3 linked regions of the Notamacropus eugenii genome follow. The protein of the gene in region 2 interacts with the protein of the main gene of each other region in a pairwise test. Links are inferred from orthologs where the notes say so. Each region holds a gene or a part of one and is shown on either strand. Other genes may lie near its edges. The genes, in order: PLP1, CREB3L1 and TMEM11.

Region 1 (3,745 bases), on a different chromosome or scaffold from region 2:
CATTAGTCTGCTATCTCAGGAACAGATTGGCTAAGTAAGAACATGTTCGTTTGTTCCTCGATAATCACTCAAGTAACATCAGGGCTGCTGATGGAACCCAGTTTGTCTCCTGGTGCTGTGGGCTGTTGGACTGAGCCATGAGCTCTGTCCTTCATACTCTTCTCCTGAGCCCCCCTCCACACACACACACACACACACACACTCACACACACACACACACACACACACACACACACACACACACACCAAGCAAGCCCAAACTTCCTTCTCAGTAAACAACAGCTCTTCAAATGAAGCAGAAGATGTCTGGTTACCAGGGTAACAGCCACCATTCTCAATCTTCAGTCTTAAAGGCTAGACTCTAGGAACCAAAGTTTTGTTGCTCCAAGAGGGGTGATCAATTACCAAGAAAAGAGAATCTGGCATTGCTCTGGGTTTCTTCTGCCCTGTTGTCCATGTCCCCCACCAAAGCCAAATCATAAGGACCTGTCATTGATGCCTCCCTAATCCCAATCCCTGCAGTCTTTTCGGGAACCAGGGTAGACACTATAGCATTCTGCAATGTCATGGCTACAAGTTGGCTGGGGCCACAGCCCCGGGGGCCATCATGAGGTGGCCTCATCTCAGCGGGCTGAACTATTCTCCATCTACCCAATAGGTGGGAGCTGATGCATATGGCCTATCTCTGAGCCTAGTTCCAGTACGATTTGCCCCTTCTTTTGGCAGTACCCTCTATCTGAGGCTGTCTTGTCCTGCTGAAATCTAAAGCCAATACCTGGCTGGCAGAAAGGCATTGCATTTCAGCCTGTTCACACCCCTCCTCACCCTCATCCCTTCTTATCTGGAACCTGAGCCACTCACCACTTCACTTGTACCCTCTTCCCTGGCCCATATGGCAAGTCCTTGGTATCTCCAAGGACTGGAGCCTGGCATCCCACTGTCTCCAGAGGACATTTCCCCAGACACCTTCCTCTGGTGACCACATGTTTCTGACACTAATACCTAGAGTACTCCAAGAACTTTTTCTGGAAGGGCTCAACCACCCCAGGGAGCTGGAGCCAGCTCGGAGTCAAGCCCTCATGTGCTTGTAGAGTATAACTTTTAAGGAACTTTCCCATTCACTGCCTTGTATAAGACCACTGGTAACCCTATTAAGGGGGCAGAACAATGATTATTATCTCCATTTTCCAAGTGAGGAAACTGATGTTCAGGTATAGTGCCTAAGAATCATCAGAGCCCACATCTTAAGGTTGGCAAAGCACTTTTACACAAATGCTATCTTGAGTCTCACAACAATCCTGAGAGGGAGGTACCATTATTAGCCCCATCATACAGAAGAGACAACTAAGGCTCAGGGAAGTTAAGCGGTTTGCCCAGTGTGACAGAAGTGGGATTCAAACCTTCATCCTCCCCAAATTCAGCCGGATTTCCACTATACCACAGCATGGGGATGAAAGGGCATGCAAGCAAATTCCTTCATTTTACAGCTAGGGGAAGCCAAGCCAGAGATCTGAGGCAGTAAGGGACCTTAGAAATCAGGACATCCAAACACTTCCTTTTGTAGGAGGCCACTGAGACCCAGACAGTGACTTGACCAAGATGACACAATTAATGAGTGACAGAATTGGGGGCTCCTGACTCTTCTGCCAACCTTCTTTCTATTATACCCCACTAGCAGTACAAGGCCTGCAAAAAGATGCCTCTGTACACTGAGACAACTAGGTGGTTCAATGGATATAGCACTGGCCTGGAGTCAGGAAAACTAGAGTTCAATTCCAGCTTCAGACACTTACTAGCTGTGTGACCCTGGAAAAATCACTTTTCTTCTGCCTGCCTCAGTTTTCTTATCTGTAAAATGGGGATAATGATAACACCTATCTCCCAGGGCTGTTGTGAGGTTCAAACAAGATCATATTTGTTTACAAATATGCACTTAGCACAGTGCCTGCACATAGTAGGCACTATATAAATGTTTGGTCCCTCTTTCCATCCTTCAGAAAGGACTAGAAAGAACACAAATGGTCATCTTAGTGAGAACTTTATGTGTAGCAGAAGTCTGGGGACCAACCAGAGGGTCACTGGAGTGGAGTTCCTATAGGAAGCGATTGAGATTTTCAGGCAAAGCCTGCATTTCTACAGGAGCAAAGTACACTCTCTTGTGAAGGACACTCTAGCTGACAAATGGGCTGGGATAACTGTACCCCGAAGACCCTGCTTAGAAGGGAATGTGCCAGAGGACAGCGCCCCCAGGCTTCTACCAAGCCATGAAGAGATGACAGACAGAGCTAAGGGCCAGCTTCCAAGAGACTCTGAGCCTGGTCCCACAGAAGAGAGGGGAAGGAGAGGCCCAGCAGCCACTAAGACCTTAGAGCAATGGAGAAGGAGGAAGAGGGAGACAAATGGAGCCGGGCAAAGGGACAAAGGCCAATCTATCCTCCTTGACTGGCATTTCCTCCAGCAGGATCCTAAATGGAGAGTGATGAGGCAGCAGCACCCAGCACCCTCAGGGCCGAAAGTGAATATCCTGACCCCAGAATCACTAGAAACCCAATGCTCCAGTCCTAGAATTCAAAAGCCCCAAGGGCATCCCCAGCCTGACCCCAGCTCTGGACCAGTCCCACCTTCCAGTGTCTGTGGCTAAAGTTCTTGGCAAACTTACCCATGGCTTTGGGACTCCGGACTCCAACTAGGGTTGGCTGCTTCTCCGACTTTGGGACAGACTTGCTTCAGGGAGGAGAATCCTGGCTGCTCTCTCCTCTCCTTCCTCAGTCCTTTACTTTTTCACTCTGAATATCTTTGTCCTCTTCTCCAGCAAAGAAAAGGGCTTTCTGATTGACAGCCAATCCCCTTAAAGGGACAGGCCTCCTTTCCTCCTCCTCTTCCTCCTCCCTTCTGCCCCCTCTCCTCCCCTTCCCCCCCCCCCCTCACCGGGATACTCCCTTCTCTTAGGGCTTGCTGTGTCTTTGCTTTTCCCCCACAGCTGCCAGATTGGATTTTGTTTCCCTTTCGTTGCTGTCAGTGTGGTTTCCCACTCTTCCTCAGTAACATCAAAAATTATGGCTTGGGGGTTGCCAGAAGGGAAATGATTCTGGTAGCCAGATGGGCAAAAGGAGGGGGGATGGCACTGGGGGGAATGGAGTGGGGTGGGGTTCCAAAGATGAGATGGTCAGATGCCCTGAGACCAAGATCCAACTGAGGAATTGTTGGTTACCTTGTCCCAAATGCACAATCACTTAACAAGTAAACACCTCCTGTGTGTAAACACCTACTGTGTGCTGGGTACTGTGCCAGATGCTGGGCATATGGAGCTTGCCCTTACCCCCCAAGTTAGTGTCTCAGGGAGCCAGACAAAAAGCCAAGGAAAAAGAATGAGGAAGCCCTAGGAAGCCTCCATTAAAGGCGAGTGCTGTGCTGGGCCCTGGGGAGACAGACCCTACCCCCAAGGGGCTGACATTCCACTGTGCTTGTGTGCAGCCAAGCTTTAATCACAGGAAGAGTCAGAAAAAGGTGCTAGTAGGTGAGACTTGACCCTTGAGCTGAGACTTGAAAGGAACCAAGAATAAAAGAACTCTAAACATGGGCACAGCCTGGGCAAAGGCACAGAGGCAGGAGATAATGGAATTCTAGGTACCAGGAAGAACAAGTAAGAGTTGAGTTTGTGAGGTGGGGGCCGTGGAGGGAGGAGACAGTTCATATGAAATTAGTCAAACAGGGGAGGTGGCATTTTATCCTGGAGGAAACATCT
Region 2 (3,745 bases):
AACAACTTAGACCACCAAGTCACTTCATCTCCCTGAGCCTCAGTTTTCCCATCTATAAAGTGGGGGAAATAACAGAACCTGTCTTGGGGGAATTGTCAGGATTTAACGAGATAACATAAGAAAAGCATTTTGCAAATCTCAAAGGGCTATATAAATGCCAGGATTTATTATTTTGGATAAATCACAAGCAGAGAGGCCACACATCCCCTTTGTGTTTCTCAGACTTGTGTTAGACGTCAATTGATTTACAGTATGGGACTAGGCTGCCTTGCCTCTTTTTCTCATGAGCAGAAGACCCTCTCATAAACTTGAAAATGGAAGGCGCCTTAGAAATAATCTGATTTGACTTCTCCACTTTCATTTTGCAGATGGAGAAACTGAGGTATAGGGAGATTAAAGTGACTTTAAAGTGAGGTCGTACAGATGGTAACAGAATTAAGACTAAAACTCAGTTCCCCTGATTTAAAAGCTGGTCCTCTGCCACTCATACCTCTGCAGATTCATTCATTCATTCACTCATTCATGCATTCACGCATTCCACTAACATTGATTGAGGACCTATGCTGGTGCTTTGTAGGCTAACAAAGATACATAAGGCATGATCCCCACCCTCAAAGGGCTTACTGTTTAATGAGGCCATTTACAATCTGGTCAATACCCTATTAGCAGCCTCACTTTTCTCTTCTGTAACGAGACAATCCCTGGTGGTAGAGGGTGCAGGATGAGATTACCCCTAACATATCGGGGTACTGAGCTCTCCGCTTTTTTCTGGCAAAGTTCTCAGAGTCTAACTGCTGACTTTGCACCTAGGATGGTTGGGTCCTGAGAAAGGCCTGGGTGGCCTGAAGGACCCAGGGGAACTTGGCCCTTGGATGAATTAACCTGCTGGGAGCCTGTCTGGACTTACTTCCAAACCACAGGCATACCTCCAAGCCACACAGGGTCCTGAAATTTCAACTGGGCAGATCCCTCCAAAGCCAAATATTTTCTCCCGTGACTGAGTGCACTCCCTGCCCCCATCCCCCTCCATTCACCATCAGGGCCTTGGGGCTGAGCCTGCTGGAGGGAGGACACATTTCCTTGGGGGGGTGGGGTGGGGAGAGAAGAGAGAATGCCAGCTTTCTCTGCCCATTGCTAACCTATTCTTACAAAGGTGGGGAGTGCAGGGCTGGTCCCTGAGCTCTCTGCTGAGGGTCTCTCTTGATATTTTGCCTTAGGTTGGTGGGGAGTCGGCAACATCTCCTGAACGCCTGGTCTGGCGTCGATCCAGGTTGTGTCCCCGAAGGGGCGCCAGGCTCAGGCTTTCTCTGGCTTTCGGCAGACTACCCCCTCCCATCTTCCCCCAAGATCAGACTGCACCCTTTGCTCTCGGGAACAAAAAGGGGGAGTGGGGGGACAGGGACAGGGGGGAGGAAAGGGGAATCATCCGAGTTTCTTTCCTCGAGTCAGAATGACCCTATTGCCAAGAGAGACTTTCTACCCTCTCCTCCCTCAGAAGCTACAGAAGACTCCCCGGAGCTAGGTAGAAATGCAAGCTCAGAAGACACCCGGGGGCTAGAGCTGGAGCTGGGGCAGCGGTTAGATCTCAGTCTCTCGGAGTCCGGGTTCTAGGCCAGCTGGCCTTGAAAGGAAACCAGGTTCCAAGGGGGGGGGCGGGGAGTGAGGGAGAGGGGCACAACTGCCCCCTCCCAGGGCTGCCATTGTTTCCACTGCCAGCATCGTGCCTTCATGACCGGCCAAAGGGCTGGAGTGGGTGACATGTCACGGAAGGAGGCTAAGCGCCAACGAGCTGACCCCGAGGGCGACTCTGGGCTCTGGTTCTGCTTCGCTCCTACCCCAGCCCTCTTCCTTGGGTCACCTCATTCTTCCACTCGGGATCTAAATACTACACCCACTCCTCCCGCCCCTCCCTCGCTGGGGCTGACCCCCGCACAGGGTCGCAGCTGCTGTATCCCGGGGGACGCCAGACCGTGCCAGGGGGTTAGAGTTGGGTCCTTTGCCTGCCTCCGTGGTGTGTGCGTGTGTGTGCGTGTGTGTCTGCGCGTGTGTGTATGTGTGTGTGCGTGTGTGTATGTATGTGTGTGTGTGTGTGCGCGTGTGTGTGCTTGTGTGTGTGCGTGAGTGTGTGTGTGTATGTATGTGTGTGTGTGCGTGTGTATGCATGCGTGTGTGTGTGCTTGTGTGTGTGCGTGAGTGTGTGTGTGTATGTATGTGTGTGTGTGCTTGTGCGCGCGCGCTCAGCAGCTGGGGACACGAGTGACCGCTGGGCGCGGACCCCTGGCCTTTCTTACCGCATTGCTCAGGAAATCCGCCTCATTGAGATCGCCCAGGTCCAGAAAACTGGAGCCGGGGAAGAGCCTGTCTGCTGGGAAGGGCTCTAACACGGCGTCCATGGTGTCTGGCTCGGGGGCTCCCAGGAGGTGGCGCGGGCAGAACACCCCCTTTGCTGCCCGGCTCAGTCAGTCCAGCGCTGGGGGCGTCCAGGCCACCAAGCTCGCCTTCGGGCTGGCAGCTCTCCGGCAAGCCCCCGGCGATCTTGGAGCCTCGTCTGGCCGGGGGCGACGGCGACAGCGGTGCAGCCGGAGTGTGGGCTCAGGGCATCCGTGAGCCTCCGGCAGGGCAGCGGGGCTCCCGGCGCACGGTGGGCATCTCTCCTCCACCCCGGGCAAAGCGAGATTCCATAAGGAGAGGCTGGGGCCAGAGAAGTGGGGGCTCCCGCCCCTCCCAGGGGCTGGGCGGGAGCCGGGAACGGGGGAGCTGCGGACTCCCCCGGGACTGGGTGGGAGCCGAGCGAGCTTTCTCCTCTCCCGCTCCCTCGGTGCGTTTCTCCCCTCCGCACTCTACTGTCACTTTCCCTGTCTCCAAAGCCGGGAAACCCAAGCTCCGCCAGCTAGGCTTGGTTGCCACACCCCCACCTCCTCAATATTCAGGGGCCTCCTTAGTAGTAATGAGATTGGGGGCGTGCCTTCTCTTCCAGACCCGTCCCTTTAAAGAGGCAGCCTCTTAGAGGACCAACCCTGCCGTTCCTTTTCTCTGCGTGCAGAATGTTTGCCCCCGAACCAGGGCAATGATTAATGACTGCGGGCGCCGTGGGACTACAAGGGAAACCAGTCCCAGGCCCTGGGCAGAGAGTAAGCCTTCAGCTAAGGAATCTTCAGCAGGTGGCCACAGACCCCCCGGCTTTTAGTCGCTGTGTCAGCCTCCCTCCCCCGGCAATAATTGGCAAGTGCCAGGCATTTCTGTTCCAGTCGTTTTATGGAAATAACAGCAGAAAGGAACCGAGAGTTAGAAAATTCCAGGTCATTGTTCCTTCACCACACGGGATAGAAACACTGGCAGCGCCTAGCAAAATGCCTTGCGCATAGTAGGCCTTCAATTCTGTTCAACTGAACAAAACCTTTTCATGAGCACTACTTTAGCTGGTCCTAGATGTAGTTGATGGGATCATAGGTTTAGTCATGGAAAAAAAAAACCTCAGAGGTTTTTCAGATCAGTCTGTTATTTTACAATAAGGAAACTGAGGCACAGGGAAGGGGAAAGATTTGCCCAAGAGCCTAGGTCCTGGGGGCGAGGGGAAGGGGTAGGGTAGGTGGCTCAGTGGATAGGTTCTGGAATCAGGAACATCTGAGTTCAAATCGTACCTCAGACATCCAGTTCTGTGACCCTGAGTAAGTCACTTAACCTCTATTTCCCTTAATCCACCGGAGAAGGAAATGGTAAACCACTCCACTATCGTTGCCAAGAA
Region 3 (3,745 bases), on a different chromosome or scaffold from region 2:
TTTAAAAAAAGTGAATGAGAAATGTAGAGCTTTAATTTTAATCAGTGCAAACTGGACATGGAACAAAGTCATTTAAAAGTGCCATAAACAGTCTACTTCAGTCATAAGACCCAATAACATGCAGCCATTATACTTTATGGTGGTGTGTAATCAATTAATCTACCCTGCCCTCAGAGTAGTCTCCCCACCTGCCAAGCAAGATCTGTAGGTGTGCCACAGAAAGCAGCTGACAAGCTGGATCTACATGGCAGGGTTATGTTTCCACCTCCTGCTTTTTGAGTGGGAAGTGGATCTTTAGGGAAGCTGAGATGTGGCAAGCTACTACCCAAACAAAAACCTAGCTAAAAGGAAAATAAATAGGTAACCTTCAGCCAAAACAAGTTATATTGAAAGAGTTGAGAAAGGCACTAAATGAAACCAGAAAATCAGAAGCCCTGCTTCTAGGAGGCATACCGTATTCTGTTACAACTGAGCCATCGGTTTGAATGGGTTTTTCCCTAGCTTCTTGACCATCATCCCAAGGCACAAACCATTTTCTACATTTTGGCGACACCTCCAGGGATCAGTCAAGAGTTTAAAATCCAGACGATGGGACATCCGAACACAGGATCGCGTATTTACTGAGGGTGCAGTTTTTCACTGATTCCCTTTTTCTAAACTGATGCATACGGCACCAAGTCCAGGGGATCTGAATACTTCGATTTCTAATGCCATCTGGATATCAAAATAGCTCCATGACTTCGCCTGATCTTAGCAGCACCAGTAAACAACGTCAGAACCTAACACTTCGCGTCCTGTCCCCCCAACCCCACTTCAGTGATGAGGGAGCACAAACCAGCCCGTTCTTCCGATCTAACTTTAAAGCAACCCAAATATCTCCTCTCCTTTCCAGATCAACTGTCAGCCCAACGAGACGAGCAGACTGGCGGGGGACGGACACACACACAGACACACAGACACAACTAAAAAGTTCTGACAGTGTTCCCCGAGCCAGAACTGCTCCATTAACCCGAGCACCAAGAACAGGAAGGATCCTCCCGGATCGTTCTGGAGAGACCTTTCTTCTGCCTGCCCACCCGAGCCCCGGGAGGGGAGGGAAAGGTCACTAGGAAGGACGCCCCCGCCAAGGGCCGAGCACCCCGGGCCGGGGGTGGGGGTGGGGGGTGGCGGGCACCTCTGTCCGGGCGGGATCCACATCTGGAAAGGGCCTGGCCCGGGAAACGTGCACGCTCGCACTGACCTTCCCGCGGCTGACCTGCTTCTGTCACTACTGGCTGCTCTCCTCCGGCCTCCCCACCCCCAGACTAACAGACCCACATGCGCACTCACGCGCGCGAACGCACTCACACGCACGCCCCCCGCCGGGCGCCCCCTCCGCGCCCACGTGGGGGATGGGCGGGGGTCCGGCCACGCCGGCCCTCGGGCCCAGGTGGGACGCCGGCGCCTCGCCCTAGGTCCTCCCGCACGATCCGGGCTCTCCGCGGCCCGGACTGGGACCACACTTCCCTGCAGACGCGCCCACCCCTCCCCGCCGCGGCGGCGCTCCCCGGACCCCGCGAGAGGTGCCCCAGGCCGACCCTCGCGGCTCCGCTCCTCTCCGCCCTCCCTCCCCCGGCTTCTCTCCTCGAGCCCAGATTCCAGGCGCCCCTCGGAGGGCAGGCAGGGGGACCGAGCGGGCGGGGGGAAGGAGGAGCCCAAAGAACTGAGGGGAGGGCGGGAGAAGAGTCCGGCGCCAGGGCCGCCGCCGCAGCGCCGCCTGGTTCCCTTTGGCTTCCCACGCCCTCCGCCACTGGCCCGGGAGGAACCGCGGCTCTCCCAGGCTCACCTCTCTCGGGCACTGCCGCCACTGCTGCCCGGGCCAAGGCGCCTCCTTCCCCAAGCAGCCATCTTGGAGACACTCCGTTCGCAAATGTCTCCGCCAAGGCGGCCGAGGGGAATCGGGAGGACTGAAGGGAAATGTAGTCCGGCTCTCGGCACCGGGATAGCCCGAGGTGCGGAAGCCTGAATCAAATAGGAACTACAACCTCCACAGTGCACCGCGCCACCTCTCCAAGCTGCCTTCTCGCAAGTCGCCTGGGAAATGTAGTCTGGATCCTGAGGGAGGAAGGCGACAAGAAGAGGAAAAGTATCTCTTGTATCCAGTGTGGTTTGGCCAAGTCATCCCTTCTCGAGGGGAGCCCCCCAAAGAGTTCAGATGCAGAGGTCCAGCAAACGTTAGCATGCCAGTGGCCCCGAGAAAGAGAAGCTGAAGAGACCCGCGGGGAGAGCCTATACTTCCCAGAATGCTGTTGGGAAGGCGTTCCTCCTTCCCCGCCCCCCTCGGTCTCCCGCCTCTCCTGCTTCCACGCCGCAGCCTCGGCGCCTTCTCCAGACTAGGCCTGGCAGCTGCTCACAGCGGCGGACCGGGGACGAGCGCCCCGCCCCTTCCTGCTCCTTCCCTGCCCGCCGCGGCTCCGCTAAGGGTCCGACCTCTCCGTCGCCCCCTCCCCCGGAGGCGGGCCAGGCGGGCCCTTTCCGAGCGAGGCTCTGTCCTTCACGGGCTCCTTTACGTGCTAAGGTCATGGAGAGGAGGGAGGCTGCCTCCCGCCGCCCGCCCCGCCCTCCGCCATTCATTCATCCATCTGCCCTCCCTCCACGTATCCAGCCCCCCTCCGTCTCTCCACTCTCTTCTCCCCCGGACGTTGGCCATCTCCCCTTCCCTCCACTCCTTCATCCATTCTGCCATCTCTCTCGACAACCTGGATTCCAGAGAAAAGAGCCAGTATAGCAGAGCTGAGGTCTTTCATCCCCACGAGAGAGCTGCAGCTTCAGACGCTGCCACACAGCTCGTGCTGGGGTATCCAAGGAGGGGAGCAGGGATTCCATCAGGGTGCTAAGGATGCGTCTGGGGTTCACCAGGTCGGTTGTGTCCCTAGAGAAAGCTTGGGAGTCCCTGGAGGAGACAAGCGTGGGTCTGGGCATGGGGACACGGTCCCCTCGCTCACCCACCTGGTGGGGTGCTTGGGCCCCAACTCTAAAATCCCATTTCTCCCTAGCCTCAAAGCACTACCCCAGGCAGTTTCTGGGTCCAGGACACAGCCTGCCCTGGTAACAACTGTCATCACCCTTGTTGATACAGTAGCCAGCTGCACCTGTAGAATTTATTAGTCTGAGCCAGCTGTGCACTGGCTGAGGAGCTGGCTGTGCACTGGCTGAGCTGGCCGTGCACTGGGCTGAGCTGGCCGTGCACTGGCTGAGGAGCTGGCTCTGCGCTGGCTGAGCTGGCCGTGCACTGGGCTGAGCTGGCCGTGCACTGGCTGAGGAGCTGGCCGTGCACTGGCTGAGGAGCTGGCTCTGCGCTGGCTGAGCTGGCCGTGCACTGGGCTGAGCTGGCCGTGCACTGGCTGAGGAGCTGGCTGTGCACTGGCTGAGGAGCTGGCTGTGCACTGGCTGAGGAGCTGGCCGTGCACTGGGCTGAGCTGGCTGTGCACCGGGTCATGATGACATTTACTACTCCCTGACCAATCATTTGTATCCTATGTATACTCCCTTACATTTACCTTGTCTAACAAGACACTGATGAGAGCAACCAGGTCTTTCTGAGCCAGCCCTGACTGTTGAGTTGACTTAGGGACATTTCAGGTCTAAAACCACCCCTCCTTGGGCTATTTCCTGATGAACTCTGGGTAAAATACCTGTGCAGTAGATACCAAAAGTGCATGTTCCTTTAAGAACTGACCACTCCTTAACCACTCCCTAATCCCAC

Evidence for each region.
Region 1: the proteins of CREB3L1 (region 2) and PLP1 interact in binary tests that used the Homo sapiens proteins (3 or more experiments, as listed by UniProt). The two-hybrid records come from large-scale screens. The link is inferred for Notamacropus eugenii from reciprocal best matches to the Homo sapiens genes CREB3L1 and PLP1.
Region 3: the proteins of CREB3L1 (region 2) and TMEM11 interact in binary tests that used the Homo sapiens proteins (3 or more experiments, as listed by UniProt). The two-hybrid records come from large-scale screens. The link is inferred for Notamacropus eugenii from reciprocal best matches to the Homo sapiens genes CREB3L1 and TMEM11.

What each region holds. Positions count from the first base shown.
Region 1 is NC_092879.1:92,939,329-92,943,073, reverse strand, and holds the start of PLP1 (myelin proteolipid protein), read right to left. Parts: upstream 2,824-3,745; 5' UTR 2,664-2,823; coding exon 2,660-2,663; intron 1-2,659.
Region 2 is NC_092877.1:4,550,897-4,554,641, forward strand, and holds the start of CREB3L1 (cyclic AMP-responsive element-binding protein 3-like protein 1), read right to left. Parts: upstream 2,884-3,745; 5' UTR 2,394-2,883; coding exon 2,292-2,393; intron 490-2,291; exon of another isoform or gene 1-489.
Region 3 is NC_092874.1:378,986,108-378,989,852, forward strand, and holds the start of TMEM11 (transmembrane protein 11, mitochondrial), read right to left. Parts: upstream 2,572-3,745; 5' UTR 1,888-2,571; coding exon 1,826-1,887; intron 1,342-1,825; exon of another isoform or gene 1,198-1,341; coding exon of another isoform or gene 1,175-1,197; intron 1-1,174. UniProt on the Homo sapiens protein: Plays a role in mitochondrial morphogenesis.